2 linked regions of the Notamacropus eugenii genome follow. The protein of the gene in region 1 interacts with the protein of each later gene in a biochemical or structural test. Links are inferred from orthologs where the notes say so. Each region holds a gene or a part of one and is shown on either strand. Other genes may lie near its edges.

Region 1 (9,490 bases):
GTCTTTGTACTGGCTGTGCCTCATACCTGGAATGATCTTTCTTCTCCTCTCTGCCTCTTTGTTTCTCTATCTTCTTTCAAATCTCAGTTCAAATCCTAGCTCCTTCAGTAGACCTTTCCCAGCTCTCCAAGCTGCTGACTCCTTTCAGAACACTTTTCTCTGCTTTGTATTTACCTTGTCTGACCCCACTGTTTACATGCTGTTTGCCTAGAATGGAAGCACCTTAAGTATTGTTTGTCATGGAATATACAGGGCCCATGACTGGGCCATGCAAACAGAATAAAAACGACAAAAAAAAGAGAATTGTTTGTTGCCCTTCTTTGTATCTCTAGCACTTAACACGGTTTAGAACATGGTAAGCTTTTAACAAATACTCCGACTGACTATGCCTCAAGCATACAAGGCAGAAGGCTGACTGTTCAATTAACTATTTTTTTAAAAAAATTTTTTTTATATTGCTGTCATTTCCCAACAATTCTTCATCCTCCTCAACTTTCCTTCCCATTAAGAAACAATACACATGATTGCATTGGTATATCTGACAAGGCATACCCCATTTTGTACCTGGAGTCCACCACCTCTCTGCCAAGAGGTGGGAGTCACAGTGAGTCCTCCAAAATCCTGGTTGGTTATGGCATTGATAAGAGTTCAGATGATGTGCTTATAAATGTTTAATAAGAGACTGAAAAAAGTTATACTTAGGCGCTTCTCCATGCAGCTCGAGGGCCAGTCCCTGGTCTGACTCCAACCTGGTCTCCAAGCACTTCGCCTGTTGCTTCAGCATCGGTTCTGGCCCAGCGCCAGCCCCCTTCCAGCTACAAATCTACAAATCTTTCAGCCTCTGGTTCGCTTTGAGCTCCCGCTCCAGCTCTAATTCCCAGATCGAGTATCCGGCCACCACGCCATGGCTAGTTCCTTCTCCTGATTATTTTCTGCCCGCCCGGGACTCAGGCTTCTTGCTGTGGCCGGCACAGGGTCTCTGACTGCTGGATATCTGCTCCGCCCCAACCCACTACAAACCTCTGGAAAGCAAGGAAGGCTATACCCACTCAGTGCAAAGTGCCCTGATCTTCGAAAACACAACAACTGCATGGCTAGTCACCTGACTCCACCTGTAATGCCCGGCTCTGTGACAAGACCATGCTCACACGATGGATACTGGTTAACCGTGGTCACCCTTTCATCAAGACTGTGGGCATGGTAGCCGGAGATGAAGAGACCTATGAGGTATTTGCTGAGCTTTTTGACCCAGAGATCCAAGAAAGACATAATGGCTATGATCCCCGAACAATGAAGCATACCACAGACTTGGATGCCAGCAAGATTCAAGCTGGCCATTTTGATGAGAGGTGTGTATTATCCTCAAGAGTCTGGACTGGCCAAAGCATCAGGGGACTCAGTCTACTCCCTGCCTGTACAAGGGCTGAGTGACGAGAGGTGGAACGAGTTGTAGTGGATGCAGAGTGGCCTGCTCAGGGAGATGACTAAGGCTGAGCAACAGCCGCTTACTGATGAACACTTCCTATTTGACAAGCCTGTGTCTCCCTTGCTGACAGCAGCTGGAATGGACCGAGACTGGCCAGACACTCGAGGAATCTGGCACAACAATGAAAAAGCTTCTTCATCTGGGTGAAAGAGAAGGATCACACACAGGTCATCTCAATGGAAGAGGGTAGCAACATGAAAAGAGTGTTTGAGAGATTCTGCCGGGGGCTCAAGGAGGTGGAAAGTCTAATCCAAGAACGTGGCTGGGAGTTCATGTGGAATGAGCATTTGGGTTACATCCTGACTTGCCCTTCTAATTTGGGAACTGGACTTCGAGCAAGTGTACATGTCAAACTGCCCCTGTTAAGCAAGGACAGTCGATTCCCCAAGATCTTAGAGAACCTAAGGCTACAAAAACGTGGAACTGGTGGGGTGGACACAGCAGCCACAGGCAGCACTTTTGACATTTCCAACTTGGACAGGCTAGGCAAATCAGAGGTGAAGCTGGTACAGCTTGTCATTGATGGGGTCAACTACCTGATTGACTGTGAGTGGCGGCTAGAGAGAGGACAGGACATTCGTGTGCCTGCACCCATAGACCTTCCCAAGCACTCAGCCAATTACTCATCGAATACCATCTCCTGCCAACTGTGAATCTGACCCTTGACCCAGTAAAAACCGTCTTGTTATGCATAAAAAATTGTACTTACAGCATGCTTTTACATTTAATTTACATCATTAACACTTGTTCCATAGCCAACAAAACTATAATAAATCACACCCCGATTTGTAGCATTTGCTGATTTCAGAGGGGTAAATTTAACACATTCCAAGCTGACTGCAGTGCACTCTTGGAAAAGTCCTTGCAAGGTTATTTTCTTCACATTTATTGAGGTCAGTGTCTAAATTCTGACTAAATTCTCTTGGTTGCTTGCCCCAATGCTGAACAATACTCGCTAATAGAAAGCTCTTTCTCAAGTCTAATCTAAATCTCTCTTATTTTTAGATAGTTTATTTTTCCCAATTACATGTTAAAACAAAAATTTAACGTTTCTTTTTAAGCTGAGTTCCAAATTCTATCCCTCCATTCCTTCCTCCCTGCTCCCCTCCCTGAGATGGCAATCTGATATAGGTTATACATGTGCAATCATGTAAAATGTTTCCATATTAGTCATTTCATACAAGAAGACTCAAACAAGAAAAAGGAAGGAAGGAAGGATGGCTGGAAGGAAGAAAAAAAGAAAGGAAAAACAGCCTGCTTCAGGCGGCATCCAGACAACGTCAGTTCTTTCTCTGGAGGTGGATAGCACACCTCATCGTGAATCCTTTGGGATTGTCTTAGATCACTGCATTTCTGAGAACAGCTGAATCGTTCACGATTCTTCACTGTACAATACTGATGCTACCATGTACAATGTTCTTTCTCCTGGTTCTGCTCACTTCACTTTGCATCAGTTCATCTAAGTCTTTCCAATAAAACTTTCTCATTGCAGGCTACTTTTGATTAGCCCTTTCCTGGAGATGACTATCACATTCCTTAGAATAACTCTATATCTCTGAGGCATAGAGGATCATATCCTAAATAAGATTGCTCTGTCCAATATCATTAAGCAGTGACATCCTTGAATATATTATGATAATGACTGATATCAACAGAGGCTTTAAAGTTTGCAAATTTACTTTGCACTGTTGTTATTCAGCTGTCTGACTCTCCATGACCCCACTGGGGGTTTTCTTGGCAAAGATACTGGAGCGGTTTGCCATTTCCTTCTCCAGCTCATTTTACAGGTGAGGAAACTAAGGCAAAAAGGTTAAATGACTTGCCTAGGGTCACCGAGCTAATCATCTAAGATCAGATTTCAACTCACAAAGTCCATCTGCTCCCACTGGATCCTCACAATGAGTTCCATTTCCATCGTTAACCCATTTTACAGGTTCTGAAGGGTTACCCAGGGTCACTAGCTAATATACTTTAAAGGCAGGATTTCACTCTAAATCCAGGGTTCCAGCCTGGTCCACACCGTACTGAGTCTGCTTCAAAAAACAACACGTCAGTCCTGGCTGTAGGGCAACTTACCTAGCTGTCCACTTGGAACAGTTTCTCTCCAGAACCCACGCTCCCTGCAACACAAAGTGACATGTTCGCCTGAATCTTACTGGACAGAACGTGCCTTTATTGGTTGTGTCAGCCCGGAGCCTTTCTGTCACCAGAGGACCGTCACTGCTCCAAGCACTGCTGCTCCTCCTAGGACTTGCGCCAACGTCTCCATGCAGAGAGCCCGCAATGGGTCAAGGCCGGTAGTTATTCCCTGGCAGAGTCACAGGGCTGGAAGAGACCTTGGAATGCAGGACACTGGCTCTAAAAGGCTTAGAAGGCTGACCACCCGTCTGTCACGCGCTGTGCCAGGCTAGGTACTGGCAGTGCAGAAACAAAAGCAGAGCGGTCCTTGCCCTCAGTGAGCTTCCAGCCCATTAGGGCAAGGGTCTTTAATTTTAAAAAAAGTCATTTTTAATCACTATACCTGTTTTAATAAGTGTTAGCTCCCAGTTCTCCCCCACTCCCACTGAGAAGGCGAGCAAGGGTATCCATCGTGCGTGAAGTCACGCACCAGGCTCCCATGGGAGCCATTCCTCAAGGCAGGCAGACAGAGAGGTGCGGGGCTGGGGCGCGTTTGAAGGCTGCCAGCCGGCCCCCCCGCACCCACGCGTTTTGTTTCACGCTCTTAAGAACCTTCTCTGGGAAGGGGCCCATGACCCAGAAGGGTAAGAAGCGCTGCACAGGTAAATCACCCCCGCGTGCGGGAGTCTGCTGGACACCTATGTGCGCGGGCACGGACCGCACGGGGGTACACGTGTGGCTGCTGCCTGCCCGGCCCTTCCCGTCCGCAGGGAGAGGAGGAAACGGAGATCGAAGGACACCCCCCCCCCAGCCGGGACCCGAGGCTCCAGCTCCCTCCCAGGGCCGACCCCCGGGACTCGGGCCCCGCCCCCCGCCCCGCCCGGACTGAGCCCCTCCCCCCTCGCCGTCCGGGCCGAGCCACGCCCCCCGCCCCGTCCGGGCCGAGCCACGCCCCCCGCCCCGTCCGGGCCGAGCCACGCCCCCCGCCCCGTCCGGGCCGAGCCCCTCCCCCCTCGCCGTCCGGGCCGAGCCACGCCCCCCGCCCCGTCCGGGCCGAGCCCCTCGGAGGGACAGGCGGAGCCCCGAGGGTGGGGCAAACGGCAGCAAGGGGAGTTCCTCGAGAAGGTAGAAGTCCGCGTGCCCCCCCGAAGCGCCGGCGGGCCCAGGACCGGACCCCTCCCTGGGTGCCCAGGGTGGAAAATGAAGAACAGACGTAGCCAGAAACGCAGACGCAGTGCGTCACCGCCGCCCCGCCCGTGGGCCCCGCCCCCTGTCTGGGCCGACACACATGGTGGGAACGTGACGGGGCGGGACCGGTCCCAGGCCTCTGGGCCAATCAGACCACGGGAAGCTCCGAACCAGTAGGACTGGCAGCCCGAGAGCAGGGAGGCGGGCCTGCGAGCGCAGAGGAAACCCCATTGGTTGAGGTATCTCGAGGGGGCGGGGCCTGAGGGCCCGACCTGGGCGGAGCGGCGGCGTCGGCCGCAGTCTGGGTTGTGATGGCGGCGACGACTGCGGTGACGGTGACGGTGCCGGCCGCTGCCCCCGCCCCGGCCCCGGAGGAGGGCGCCTCTTCCGTACACTGGTTCCGCAAGGGGCTGCGGCTCCACGACAACCCGGCGCTGCAGGCGGCCCTGCGCGGGGCGCGCTGCGTGCGCTGCGTCTACATCCTCGACCCGTGGTTCGCGGCCTCGTCCTCCGTGGGCATCAACCGCTGGAGGTGAGCGGGCCGGGAGGGGCCTGCGTGGGGAGGGGGCGGGGGTGACGCGACGGCGGCGGCGGAGGGGCGGGGCGGGGCGGGGGAGGGGCCCGGCCCGGGAGGGCGGGGTGGCCGCCTCGGGGCCTCGGAGCGCGTGTCTGCCTCGGCCTCCCGTCCGAGCCGATGCCGGAGGAGGGGCCCTCCCGCGGGGCGAGCCTGGGGAGCTCCGAGCGGAGCCCGTGCGGAGGCGTCTGCCCCGGGGGGGGCGGGGCTGGGGCTCCGGGGCAGATCCGACCTGACCCTACGGCGTGATGCAACCCAGTGGCCTGTTTGCGTTGTGGAGGCCTCGGACCTGGCTCCAGGGGCAGTGCCCCGTGGCTGGCCAGCTGCCTGGTCAGCGTCCCTCTGCCCCTGAGGACAGGGCCGCGGGCAGAGCCAGCCTGCGTGGTCTGTGCTGTCCTTCGTCAGGCTGGCATGCTAAAGCATGACCTCAGATGGTAGATGATGGTGCCCACCGTCGCTGCCCTTCCTCCCCCGCATCTTTTCTGGTCACCAGATGAAAGCTTAGCCAGACCTTGAGGGCTCTGTGCCCCTTCCGGAGGACTGCATGCCAGTTAGGCCGTAGCCCGGAGGCCGCCTCGTACCCGCCCGTGGCATCATTTTGTGGAGCACTCCCGTGGCTGGCCCTTTGAGGGCTCTCCTTCTGGCTCCTCCCTCACAGAGCAGGGAGCTGAGGGCCAGGGACCAGAACAACTCTGCTTTTCCAGTGTGCGTGACTTAATGGGCATTGAATAGGGCCACGTGGGTCATTGCAAAGTGCCTGGGTACTGGTTGCGGTGGAATTTGGCAGCAGCCACGTGTGGTGTGCAGTTTGGTGTTTGCCACGAACGTTCTGTGGCTAGTTTTCAGATGATTAAATGGAAGGAAGGACATCGCATGGCAGGGCATGGTACCTGAGTTGTACGCTGTGGGATTGATACAGAATCCCGGGAGCCTTACCACCCTGCCAGCGTGCTGCAGTTCTGTACAGGCTGTTTGGCTGGCCAGAAGGACGGAGCTGGGGGTGAAGCAGCACAAAACAGACTCCTCCCACCAGGTGGGGGGAATAGGCAGGATGAGGAGAGAGAGACCTTCCTGAGGTGGCATTCCCTGTGTCAGACAGATACAATACTGGCACTTGCAAGCTGCTTTTAGACTTACCAGGTGTGCCCCGCACATGCCCGCCTCCAGTGTGCTGGGGATCTTGGGGACAGTCCTAGCCACACCTCAGAACCAGAAGAAGAGAAGGTGAGCTGCCTTCCGGTTGTAGATGTTGGCATTTAAAATAGAACCCCCCCCCCACCTTTGGTGTAGGTAGGCCTGCCTGAGCTCGTGTAGGCAGGGGCCACAAACTTGGTTGTTGCTCATGGACTCCGACAGAAACTGTTGGTAACCTGAGGCAGCAGGTTGTGCTTCAGCCTCTGTATCCGTTGAGCTCTGCAGGATGACAGCAGGTAGGGAGCAGCCTGTCAGCTGGCTCTGATTGCAGGTGGCTCAGCACAGTCAGACTCCAGTACAGAGGAAGCTTTCCTGCAATTGGATCAGTGAGAAGGCAGGTGGTGCCTGGGGTGTACACGGATCAGAGCGTGGCACACTCATCAGGGGTGCTGTGCTACTTCTAAGCCATCCAAGCAAGTATCCTGGCCAGTCGCTTAATCATTCTGCTTTCAAGGTTCGAGTTTTCCATTTGTCCATAGGGGAGGAAAATCTCTGTCCTCATCTTCTAAATCAGGAGTAGGGAAAGCTTTTTATAATTGTAAATGGTTTCGCATGTCAGCCCTGGATCCCCTTCCTATTTGTGAAATAAAGCATACAACAGAGACCAGAAACCTGATCCTGCTGAAAAAGCTCCGGCTGTACAATTTCTTTATGTCCCATAGAAGCAGCCAGCTGAGGCCTGTGTTGTACTCATTGATGATGGCATGTTGGCCAAGGACTGGACCCCAAAGACTTTCATTTTGCAAAAGCAAATACGGCATATCTCTAAGCCCTCTTACAAAAGAGCAAGTACCTTTCAGCCATTCCCTTTGCTGAGGACTTGGGCTAGAAGAGATGGGAGGGGGCCTGGCAGGATCTTAGTCATTCCTTAAGGCTCTGTCCACAAAGGCCTCTCCTGAGGGAATTCAGGCTGCAGTTTGACCATGAACCTCTGGCGCCCCTTCCTGAGCCTCCAATCCAGTGAGACTGTTGTCTATATTTCAACATAGAGTCCCAGCTGGCTCCTTGTGGGGGGTACTCCCCATGCCTCTGGCCCAGGAGGGTGGATCTCACGCATTCTGCTGCAAGGGCCTGACCTGCTCTGCCAGGAGCTGAAGCCAGCCAGGGAACTCTGAAACCCAAAGATGATGGGCTAGCCTTTGTCTTTTATTTTCTTCCTGCTCCCATGGGGATAAATGAAAGCTGCTGAAGGGCCTTTCCTTAGATCTGACCCAGGAGTATCCATGTCTGCCAGAGCTGGCTGGCCTGGCTCCAGCTTGCCCTGATGTTATGCAGAGCTGACAGCCAGAGTGCTGTGGGGGCCGGGCCTCAGCTCTCTGCTAGAATTTGGGCTTCTGTCTCCCCATGGCCAGAAATATTGTCTTCTCAAGTGTCTTGGCTACTCACCGTCAGCCAGGCCTCTGTCTGGGCCCCTTTTATAACAGTAGCATACCAGATGGAGCATAGCAAGTGGGGGCCATTTCTCAGAAGGGAAGATGAACAGAGCCATGTGTCCTTCGGATGTGTTAGACATAGATCAGTCAGTGAACATTTATTAAGTGCCTGCTGTGTGCCAAGCATTGTGCTAAGCTCTGGGGAGACCCTCCTCTGGGAACTCCCGATCTACTGAGGGAAACAACATGTACAAAGCAAGCTATGCACAAGATCATTAGGAAATCATGATCACAAGTCATTAAAGGGGGTTGGGAAAGGCTTCCTGGAAAAGAAGAGATTTTAGTTGAGACCCACAGGAAGCCAGGGAAATTAGTAGGTGGAGAGGAAGTTAATCTTAATGAGGAGAAGCAGATTGAAACGAATTGAACAGGCAAAATGCATCCTGAAAACTAAAAATGCTGGGGTTGTAGGACAGGTTGCTTCCAGGCACTTGTTCAGGCTCCTGCACAGGTCGGCTCTCTGTCTGTGCCTCCCTGGGCTAAGGAGAGGGGAGCATCTTTTCTTTCCTAGCCTGGCCTAGCTGACTTCCTTGCCACCTAGACAAGTTGGAGAGATGTACATATTTTGGCGAATATGGGTCTAGAATGCTTAGTGATATAATGAGGCTGCTTCTGACTCCATTTTCTGGAGCTTAAATAAAATGTCACAGAGCCCCTGAGATGGCAGGATTTCAGAGACCCCTGGCCAAATAATAATCCCCTCTACAACATCCACCAAATGCTCATTTGTCATGTATTTAAAGACTTCCAAGAGGAAGAAGAGCTCCCATTCCACTGTTCACTCTGTTTTAGGAGTGGTCTCCTTGTTAGCAGGTTTTTTCTTATGCCAGACCTCAGTCTGCCTCTTGGTAATTCCCATCCACTGCTCCTTGTCCTACCCTGTGAGGCCAGATAGAAGGGGCCTGACCCCTTCCCTCAGTTATCATGCCTGCCCTACTCCTCCTTTTCTGCAGGCTAACCATCCCTGCCTCCTTCAGCCAGTCCTCTGACCCTTCGCAGTCGAGGTTACGCTTTTCTTAGACCCTCGCCCACGTAAGGATGCCCTCCTGAGAAATGGACCCATTTTCTAGGTATCTTCCCAAAGTCATTCACTACTGCCTCATCCCAATGGGAATGTAATCCTGGGGATCTCAGAGGTTCCCTGCAGGTTCTGGCAGGTTGTACCAGGCTGGGTCGATTTCCTGTAGGGGCCAAGCAACAGGATGTACGTCCGCTTTCCAGCACTGGCCCCGCTCAGTTTGGAGACAGATTGGCCAGCCATTGGAAGATGAATTATTTTGGTCACCGAAACTCCTGAGTGCCACTGAATGTGGAGTGGATGTCACCTGCAGGGATGGAGAGAGGGAAGGCTCACACCAATGGCATCATGGCACCTGAAAGCGATGAAGTATAAGTAAGATGGACTGTACAGGTTGTGGAGTGAGGGGGGAAGCCACTGGATTGGAAGTCAGAGGACTTGGGTTCAGATTCTGGCTCCCCCAGTTCTCATGTGACCTT
Region 2 (10,257 bases), about 260 Mb from region 1:
TAAATACAATGCCAAATACACAGTGGCTAACACTAAGTCATTTAAACCAGGTGTCAAACAGAATGAGACCCAAAACAATGCCCAGAACCAGATTAAAATATAGTTGAGAAAATATTTAATGGAAATAAAAATATAATACAGGAGGCAATATTACATTTTAAAACTGTCAGTAAGTGATCCACAGGGATGCTTATGTTTTGATTAGTCACTCTGTTCCTATTTGAGTTTAATACCACTGCTTTAAACCATTCTTAGCTAGTTAACAAATTTTTACTAAGTAAGTGTCCTCTGGGTAAAGAGTATGTTGCTAGGAATTTCAAAAAGTACAAAGTTGAGCTGAAACATGGTCCATGCTATCTTACAATCCAGCACAAAGTTGCCACTAAAATACTTAAGTGCATTAGAGATGTTAAATAAAGGCTATGTCAGGGAAGAAAAGGGATGGTTTTGAATTTTAAAGGGTGGATAGGAATTTAACGTGGGAAGGGAGGGCAGGAAAGCATTTAAGACAGGGAAGTATGGGGCAGGAAAGTACAGGTATGTTCAAAGGACAGCAGTAAATTCAGTTGCCCTGTCACAGAACTACAGATGACAGTAAAGTTAAAAACATGGTCTCTAAAGCTATAAAGATGGGGGAGGTGGGGGAGCAGAGGAGGTGTTTAAGATTATAAAGTATCTTGAATACTAGGCAACAGTCTGAACTTCATTCTGTAAATAACAGGAAGCTAATTTTAACATCTGAGCAGAAGAGTGACAAGACCAAATCTATGTAAAGAATATTAGTTTGGCACTGCCACTGAGAGGGTAAGGAGGGAATTTATAGGTAAAGAAAGGAATGAATAGCAGTTATAAGGCTATACTACAATAGTTCAGAAAGGGAGTCAAGAGGGTCTGTGCTAGAAGTGTAGCAGTGCGAAGGACAGAAAAGAAGGATAAGTGGCTAAGTATATGAGGTGAAAAACAATAGTCAAAGGATAACACCAAAGTCTTCAAACAGGAAAATGAAAAAATGGTGACTGATTCTCAACAGAATTAGCGATAATTAAAAAAAAATAACAAAATTGACTTAGTATGTGTCTTAAGTGTGACATGGCAGAAAAAAAGCTAATGTGATATTAGACTACATTATAAACATACTGTTCAGAATTCGAGAATTAACAGTCCCTTCATATTCTCCATCGCATCTGGAATACTGCATTCACTTTTGGTTGCCACATTTTAGGAAGGCAAAGTTTGAACATATTTTAAGGAGAACAACCAGAACAAAACTAGCACACAAAACCATGCCACATGAAAATTATTGGAAGGAACTGGGTATGTTTAGCCTGGAGGAAAAACAAAAACAAAAAACTTAGCCAACTAGATAGCTATCTTCAACTCTCTGGAGAGAAATATAATGGGGAAGAATTAACCTTGTTTTGCTGGTCAAAGATGATAAAGTCTTGACCTTTTGAGCTAGAAGGGACCTAAAAGTCATCTAGTCCAATTCCCTTCTATTACAAATGGGAAAAAATGAAGGCCAAAATGGTTAAGTGACTTTTCCAAGATCACACATATAATAAATGGCAGAGCTAAGATTTCAACTCAGGTTCTCCTCTAAGCAACAGTACTCTTTCTACTGTACTCCACTAGCTCCTATTTGCTTGAGATAAATATTAGCTCCAAATAGTCAAGTCAAGAAGCGTTTATTAAGCCTCTACTATGTGCCAGCCACTGGGGCTACAAAAAAAAGGCAAAAGCCCTGCTCTCAGGGAGTTCACAATCTAATGGGAATAAGCAAACTATCTTGTATAAACAAGATATCAGAATAAAGGGACTATTGATATTAATTTGTAGAAGCAAGGCGAGGTTGTTAATCAATTAAAAAGTCCTACACCCAGAATTACAACCTAAAGAACTCAGGTAGTTATTTTAGAGGTCAGAGTTAATATCCAACTGAAACATATTGCTTTAGTAGCAAAAGTGTGGTCTTTCTTCCAGTCTCTTTGTGGTAGAGAGAGGTACCACTCTTTCTGGTCATCCACATACTTAATACACGTAGAACAACTTTCTAACAAGTTCTGAAGCACAGGACATCTTCAAGCATAGGCTGGATAATAATTTATTGGGAATGGTATAGAAGTCATTCCTGTCAAAGCATGTAGACTAGATGATTGAGGGAATTAGAAAAGAAAAAAATAAGCATCGAGGTTGCAGGTGTATTAACAACAGTCACAGAATATAATTAGGCTTTTAGTATGTTTTAATATCCTTTGCCAAGTAAGCCCAATTTATTAATTTTTCACCTATATTATTTACCTATAATAATTCAGATCATCTTCAAAGTTAATTATTTAGTCTATTTGCACATAAATCTGTACTTTACAAAGTTAGTGATGCTTCAGGGATATTCACCTATGGGCAGTTTGGTCAATGAACTATTTATCTCCCATTTTTTGGTCAAGTTAAGTACTTATATATTTGAAGAGGAGTGTGACAGAACAGAACTGGAGAATAAAAGTCAATCAAGACTTTTTACAGAGCAACAAAAATCAGCCCTCTGCAGGCATACTTGTTCAATGTCATGTTACCAACTTTTCTAATTACAGATGCTCCAACATGGTGCTTTCATACATAATTATTCTAGGTTCCTAAATATTGTAAGGAAACGGAGCCGTTGGATTCGAACGAAAATCACCAAGTAAAACACAAGCTAAAGGAAAGGTTTTGCTGGGCTAAGTTGTAACACTCCCCAAAACTACTGAAATAAGAGTAACTTGACCATCAGCAATAGTGTCCAAGACTGGCAAAGGAACAGTTCTGTGATTTCAGTGGTAGAGGGAACTCCTAGATGTAGCAACCCCTTTTACTGAAAACTTGTCTTGTGAGAGTTGCCTAAAGCAGAGGTGTCAAGCTCAGGACCAGCAAAACTGCAGAGTGCTTTACCACTGGAAGTAATTAGGAAATGCTTAACAAAATAAAAATATAACACAGATAATCCTAATTTGTGGTTTTCTAAGTCTACATGCACTGCACGGATATGTCTGCGGAATTTGACACCACCGGCCTAAACACTGAGGGGTTAATTTACCACGGTCACAGAGCCAATACGTTAGAGGCAGGTTAACTCAGGTCTTTCTAGTTACAAGCTCAGCTTTCTAACCACGCTGCCTCTCAAACGGGAGGTGTTCATTTTAATATTTATCTGCGGTATGAAAAGTCTGGCAAGAGCCCATCCTTTATATCCGTCTTTTATTTTTACTGACGACATTCAATGCCAGCCTCACATGCACTTCCACTCTGACCCCAGCCTAACTAACTCTGGGCAAGCTAATCCCTCAGTGTCCTCGGCAACTCTCCACGACAAAAGCTGAGCCGAGAAGAAAGGTAGGGACACGACTAAACCTGCTAGGTACCAGTGCCATTCCAGGCCTAGCCCCAGCCCCTGGCCTCTAGCTGCCGTTAAAACTAGCGAGAGGGCACATAGCCATCGGGACAGCAGCTCGAAGCCAGGCTGGTGCTAAAAAGAAGTCCAGGTAAAAGACAGCGAGGGATAACCCACACAAAGCAAACCAGCTGACGGTATCTTAATGGACTTTCACGGATAACACGAAGCGTCCATCTCACAAAGTAAACAAGCACCCAGTAACACCGGGCCCTCCCCACGGAGGGCGGGCCCGCGCCTCGGCACTCCGTCCGACACAACCCAAACAAGCCCGAGGAGGGCGAGGGCCGGCGGCTCGTCACTGGCAGATTTCCGCTCCCGTGCGCGGTCCTCCCCCGCCACCTCCCCGCCGATCTCAGGCCTCGCCCACACGCAGCCCAGAACGCGCGGGGCGGCCCGCAGCCGTCTCTGCTGACATCTGTCCCGTCACTCACTCCACACTCCACATTCGGGGTACCCCCGCCGTCCGTGCTGGAAGCGGGCCCCGCTTCTGACCCAGGCCGGGAGGCACCCGCCCGAGCCACCGCCACCCCCAGGACTGGGCGCAGGGGCGCGGTCCCGCCCCACGCCCGCCAGCGCACCTGGCGGACCTGTTTTCAGGGGGTGGAGAGAAGAGGGATGGACCGGAGCGACCCCCACCCCGCCCCTGCTCCTGGGTCTCAGCGGGCGGGGCCCCGCGGGACACCCGGCCCTGCCCTCCCCCAGACCTGGGCCGGCCGGACCCTCCGTCTCGGGGCCGAGGGGAAGGGAGAGGGCGACGGGCGGGCGGGACGCCGAGGCTCCGTTACCTGGTGCGGGTGGCGGCTTCCCTCACACGCCACCCCCGGCTCCGGAGGCGGCGGCGGCGGCGGCTGCTCCCGCTGCTCTCACGTCAGGCCCGCCGGGGCCCCCTCTCCGCACACCGGCCGCCGCGGCCCCTCGCGCTCCGCCTGCATCCGAGCCCGAGGTGCTGGCGCGGCTGCTCCGCCTCTCCGGCCCCCGGGGCCCTCCCCGAAGCCCCTCCGCAGGAAGCCCTGGGCTTCGATCACGCCCCCTCCGAGTCTCTCTGCCCTGGCTCCCCGGCCCGAGCTCCGACAGTGCCCGTCAGAACGCCACGGCGCCAGCCGAGCTCCCCTGCCCTTCCTGCGCCTCTCGGCCGCCCTGACACTCAGTCCAAAATGGCGCTCGCCGTCGCGGCCGCGCGCTTTGACTTCCCCGCCCCCACTCCGGCGCTGGCAGGCGAGCAGGCGCGCGCTCGGTTCGGGCGGCCGAGGAGCCTCGGAGCCGAAGCCGGCAGGCGGAAGGAAAGTGGCGGCCCCGCCCCCAGGCTCGGCGCATGCGCCGTGGTGGGAGCGCGCCTCCCAGCTCCCTCTTTCGGGCTTCAGAAAACTCCAGATTACTGGGAGGAGGGCGTGTTTACGGAGCTTCTAATTTTCAGAGGGAAGGGGAGGAGCGAGCGAGAATCCTGCAGTTTTCTTCCCCAGGAAAGCGGAGGCCGACGATGCGGCGTCAGAAAAGTGCCTCGGGCGGAGAAGAGGGCGCCCTGGGCGGGGGTCCCCCCGGGCCGCGGGCTCTGCTCTGCGCCCCCTGCCTCTCCAGGGCGCTCATGACGGGACTGTCCCGAAGAGGAACCCCTGGGGTGCGCCGCGGCGTGAAGAAAGGCTTCCAAAGGCCCCTGTTTTTAAAGCCCGCAGTTTGCTCTAAAGATTGAAAAAGTAATCCAACAGAGGGACCTCTCCTGAAATAACTAAGAAGTTGGGGGAAATGCTGGACCGCAGTCACACCGAAAACCTCCCTCAGGGAGCTGGGGATGGAACCAAGGGGTTGGCAGGAGGAGAGTCCAGGACGTGACGAACGAGGTGCGGGGATGTGGGGACCTTCCCAGCCCCGGGCCGCCTCCGAGTGGGACGGAACAAATAGTGTTATTGAGGGGACGCCGCCAGAGGGCCGCCCTTGAGGACCCAGGGGGCCGCCGGGTCCCCGCCCCGCAGACCCCTGGACCATTCAGTCCTATCACCAAGCCCGCCTAGCCCGCTGTTGTTGGGGCTGCGCCGCTGAGCCTGGAACACTTTGTCCGTCTTTTCTTTAATTTTCCTAAATGTTAGTACTTCCTCCAGTGATGCAGAACGTTATCGTTTCATCCTTTATCAGATTGAAACCAAGGTTTTTTTTTTTAATATTTGTAACCTCGGTTGCTTAGTGTTATTAGATGGTAGGACCTCTGAATTCAGTATCCACGATGTGTCCAAAGTTTAGCGTAAGTCACTGTGGGTATTTAATGCACAAAGTTGTTATTCAGCTGTGCCCCACTCTTCATGACCCCATCTGGGGTTTTTCCCCCAGAAATAATAGAGTGGTATGCCCTCTCCTTCTCCACCTCGTTTTACAGATGAGGAAACTGAGGCAAACTAGGATCCCATAGCTGGTAAGTGTCTGAGGTCAGATTTGGACTCAGGAAGAAGAGGCTTTGTGATTCTAGACCTGGCACTTTATCCACTGTGACGCCTAGCTGCCCTGTTATCTCAGATAATGTTTGTTGCCTACATTCGTAATAGAAAGATGATCAATTCCAAATTTTCCACCCGTCTCTCCCCTCCCCGCCATGGTGGTATGCATTGTGATTACCCTGTCCTCCAATCTGCCCTCCCTTTTCTGACTTCCCACAGACCCTTCTCTTATTTCCTTCTTCTATTTTCCTATGCGGTAAGCTAGATTTCTGTACCCCATTGCCTGGGTATCTTATTTCTCAGTTGCGTGTATTTTCAACATTCTTTTTTTTTTAAACTTTGAGTTCCAAACCCTTCCCCACCCTCATTGAGAGGGCAAGCAGTTCAATATAGGTTGTACAAGTGTAGTCATACAAAACACTTCCATGATAGTTATGGTGTGAAAAACCATATTTCTCTCCATCCTGTCCCACCCCCCTTTATTCTGTTATCTCCTTTGACCTTGTCCCTCCTCAAAAGTGTTTGCTTTTGATTACCCCCTCCCTCAATCTGCCCTCCATTCTATTACCCCCTCCCCTTATACCCTTCCCCCCTACTTTCCTGTAGGGTAAGATAGATTTCCATACCCAACTGACTGTGTATGTTATTCACTCCTTAAGCCAAATCCAGTGAGAGTAAAGTTCACTCATTCTCTCTCACATCTCCCCTCTTCCCTTCCACTGTGAAAGCTTTTTCTTGCCTTTTTCATGTGAGATAGTTTACCCCATTCTACATCTCCCTTTTTTCTTTTCCCAATACATTCCTGTCTCTCACTCCTTAATTTTATTTTTAGATATCATCCCTTCATATTCAACTCACCTATGCCCTCTATTTATATTCTTTCTAACTACCTTAATAATGAGAAAGGTCTCAGGAGTTACAAATATTATTTTTCCATGTAGGAATGTAAACAGTTCAACTTTAACAAGTCCCTTATGATTTCTATTTCCTGTTTATCTTTTCATGCTTCTCTTGAGTCTTGTATTTGAAAGTCAATTTTTAAGGTTTATTAGAAATTGAATCTGACTTCAGAGAGGCCTGGAAGGACTTATATGACCTGATGCTGAGTGAAAGGAGCAGAACCAGGAGAACTTTGTGCACAGCAACGACCACAGTGTGCAAGAGTTTTTTCTGGTAGACTTGGAATTTCGTAATAATGCAAGAACTTCTTAAAAAAAAAAAATCCCAATGGTGGTTCTCAAGGCAAAATGCCTTCCACACTCAGAGAAAGAAATATGGAAGTCATTCGCAAAATGTAGCAGATCATGTTTGTGTATGTGTATGTTTTTGTGTATCATGTTTTAATTTGTTATATTTCTTTCATTTGTTTTAGTCTGACTACATAGCATGACTATAGTGAAAATATACTCAATAGGAAAGTATATGTAGAACCTATACAGAATTGTATGCAGTCGTGGGGAAGGAGGGAGGTAGTGGGGGGTAGGTGTGGGGGGGGATAAAATCTCAATTGTATGGCAGTGATTGTTAAACTTTAAAAAAAAAAAAAAGAAATTGAATCTGAGCATTGGCCAGATTCTTAAGGAATCTGAGCAATTTAATGGGGGGGTGGGGAGGGGTGGGTAAAATGGAATTTATATACAGAAAGACTGTGGGAAGGATCTATCTAGGAGTGGTCAAGTAGTCTAGGGTGACTGGGAGGTAACTGAGAAGGAACAGTAAAGGCTGGATGCCCCAGGCAAATGGCAAGAACCTGGGGAAAGTTCAGGATTTTTTCCTTTTTGGGCTCCAGATCCCAAAGACATAATCTTTTCCTTTTAGGGGTTCAGATCCCATCCCCATCATTCCACCTTCAGACAAACGGAACCCAAATTCTTTTGGGGTAAGGGGCAAAGGTCTTAGCTTCTGAAACTCCATCCTACAGCAAGGGCCATGGAGCTGTCCCTGCCTCAGGAGTGTCCCAGAGGAGGTTGACTGGACCCAAACAGAGGCTGCATTCAGGGGATGATGGGGGGGACGTTGGCTGGTACCTATTGTTTGCCACCAACTGTAGGTGAATGACCTGTAGCCTAGAAGACACAAATCTAACAAGCAAGTCTGCAGGGCCCAAATGTAGGGAGAATGAAAAGTGCAAGGACCCCATTAAAATTATTTACATTTGACCTGCAAGATTATCTGATTTTGCTACTTTCTCAAAAGTTTTAGTAACATTTTTGCGGTTAGAAATGATGAACAGGAAGACTTCAGAGAGACCTGGAAGGACTTAAATGAACTGATGCTGAGTGAAAGGAGCAGAACCAGGAGAGCTTTGTATATAGCAATAACCACCGTGTGCGAGGAATTTTTCTGATAGACTTAGTATTTCATTGCAATGCAAGAACTTTAAAAATTCCCAATGGACTCGAGGCAAAATGCCTTCCACATCCAGAGAAAGAGCTATGAAATTGGATTGCATAATGAAGCAGACCAATTTTTTTTTGTATTATGTTTTGTTTAGTTTTATGGTTTCTCCCATTCATTTTAATTCTTCTATGCAACATGACTAAGGTGAAAATGTATTTAATAGGAATGTATGTGTAGAACCCATATAAGATTGTGCACTATCTCAGGGAGGAAGTGGGGAGGGGGGGGAAGGGGAGGAGGGGAAAAAAATCTAAGATATATGGAAGTGATTGTAGAACACTGAAAACAAATAAAATAATTTAATAAAAAAAAAGTTTTCCACCCTTGAACAGGGACTGACTTTTACTCCAATTAGAATAAAAGACTAGGGAGGATACTTAAGTAATGATTAGGTCAAATAGATTACCTCCCTCTAAGAAAATAAATTGCACTGAAATTCTCTTCCCCAAACCAAATTGAAGATGTTTCTGATTTAATTTCGGTTGTTTGGGGTATAGAATGACTACACATTCAGGTGAAAACAGCAAGATCTCATACACTTGCATTGTGCTTATATCTTTTACTGACTACTTGCTCTGATTATAGAAATTTGTTATAAAAGGATAAAGCACGGGCAAGATTTATACAGGATAAAATATTCTTAGAATTCAGATAATTCACAGTTTCCCAATCATTTCTACATACTTGCAAATTCTGAGTAAGCCAAATTCATTGTTTAGGAACTCCATAACCCCAACAAACTTGTTGAGAAGTTTACACGTTAAAATAATAACCAACAATCTTACAATTTTAAACTTCAGATGACATCAATCACATTTCCAGATCATATAAAAACTATTAAAGATGGGCTTACAAATTGCAGAGGCTGGCTGGCTTCTCATCTCATACTTCCAGGCTCTCCGGCCCCAGGTGCTCAGGTCCATTACCAGTGGGCCCAATGCTGCAGCTGCTGCCCATCCCCCAAGTTCTCTTCTTCTAGTCTGACCTTCGATGGGAGGGATTAACAGAAAAGCCCAAGGCTGTTTCCAGTCCCCCAATGGAGATAATCCTCTTGACTCAAGGGATGGGAGTTGGGGAAGGGAGTGACCAGGGTTGTAAGGAGGTGTTTCAAAAGTCCTTAAGGATCACTCACAAAACTTCCAGAATCTGCTAACAGGTTTTTAGCTGTTCTAACTTTTCACTGTGGTTTTAGCCTGGTCAGAGCCGGGACTACAGAACATTCCTAGTGCTTTGGAGAGCCGACCCCAACTGCAGGACAAGAGAGGAATAGGGAGAGAGGGGAGTCTTACATTCCTTCCAATCTTGGCTGGAGAAGAGTTTGAGATTAGGCAGTTTCTCAGTCTCAGGGAACCAAAATGTTGAAGTCTAGGGGTGCTGGGACCCCAAAATTCAAGGACAAGTGACAGCAGGTCCTGCTTCAAATAAATTTAACCCAAGCCTTCTTTCAGGCAAAGTGTATTAGAACACCTGTTTGGGTTTTTGGCCAGACTCTTAAAGAATCTGAGCATTTGTGACACTTGTATTGACAAGCAGGCCAGACTGACTCTGACCTTGACCAGACTTTTAAGCAATCTGACCATTTGTATCACTAATGAAAGCAGGCTAGATTCTTATGGAATCTGAGCCCCAACTTCACTCTTTAAAATATTTTTTTCTAGGTGATTTTCTTTTTATATGCATGACTTTAGACGGAAATAAAGGGAACAATGTTGAATGCAGACACTATTATGATCATGTCCCTAAACAAGTTCCAGAGAAAGTTAAAATATGGGGGAAGGAGGGGCAGAAGACAAATGCATGATGCCATTCTGCATAAGAAGCCTGGGCAACCAAAGTTTTGTTTTTGTCCTCTCAGGAAGAGCAGTGGGACAGGCTGAGAGAATCTTGACAACTCCATCACAAACAATGGAAGCCATGCTTTCTCTAGGTTCTCTATTGCTTCCCTTATTTAAATAAAAAGCAATTAAAATGTCAGCATGAGGCAAACAAATCTATTTTCTATAGATC

Evidence for each region.
Region 2: the proteins of CRY2 (region 1) and FBXL3 form a complex in vitro, tested with the Homo sapiens proteins (2 studies listed by BioGRID, with this or other methods). The link is inferred for Notamacropus eugenii from reciprocal best matches to the Homo sapiens genes CRY2 and FBXL3.

What each region holds. Positions count from the first base shown.
Region 1 is NC_092877.1:5,012,551-5,022,040, reverse strand, and holds the start of CRY2 (cryptochrome-2), read left to right. Parts: upstream 1-5,034; 5' UTR 5,035-5,103; coding exon 5,104-5,324; intron 5,325-6,499; exon of another isoform or gene 6,500-6,519; coding exon of another isoform or gene 6,520-6,590; intron 6,591-9,490. UniProt on the Homo sapiens protein: Transcriptional repressor which forms a core component of the circadian clock.
Region 2 is NC_092877.1:260,062,440-260,072,696, reverse strand, and holds the start of FBXL3 (F-box/LRR-repeat protein 3), read right to left. Parts: upstream 4,351-10,257; 5' UTR 4,213-4,350; intron 1-4,212. UniProt on the Homo sapiens protein: Substrate-recognition component of the SCF(FBXL3) E3 ubiquitin ligase complex involved in circadian rhythm function. Plays a key role in the maintenance of both the speed and the robustness of the circadian clock oscillation.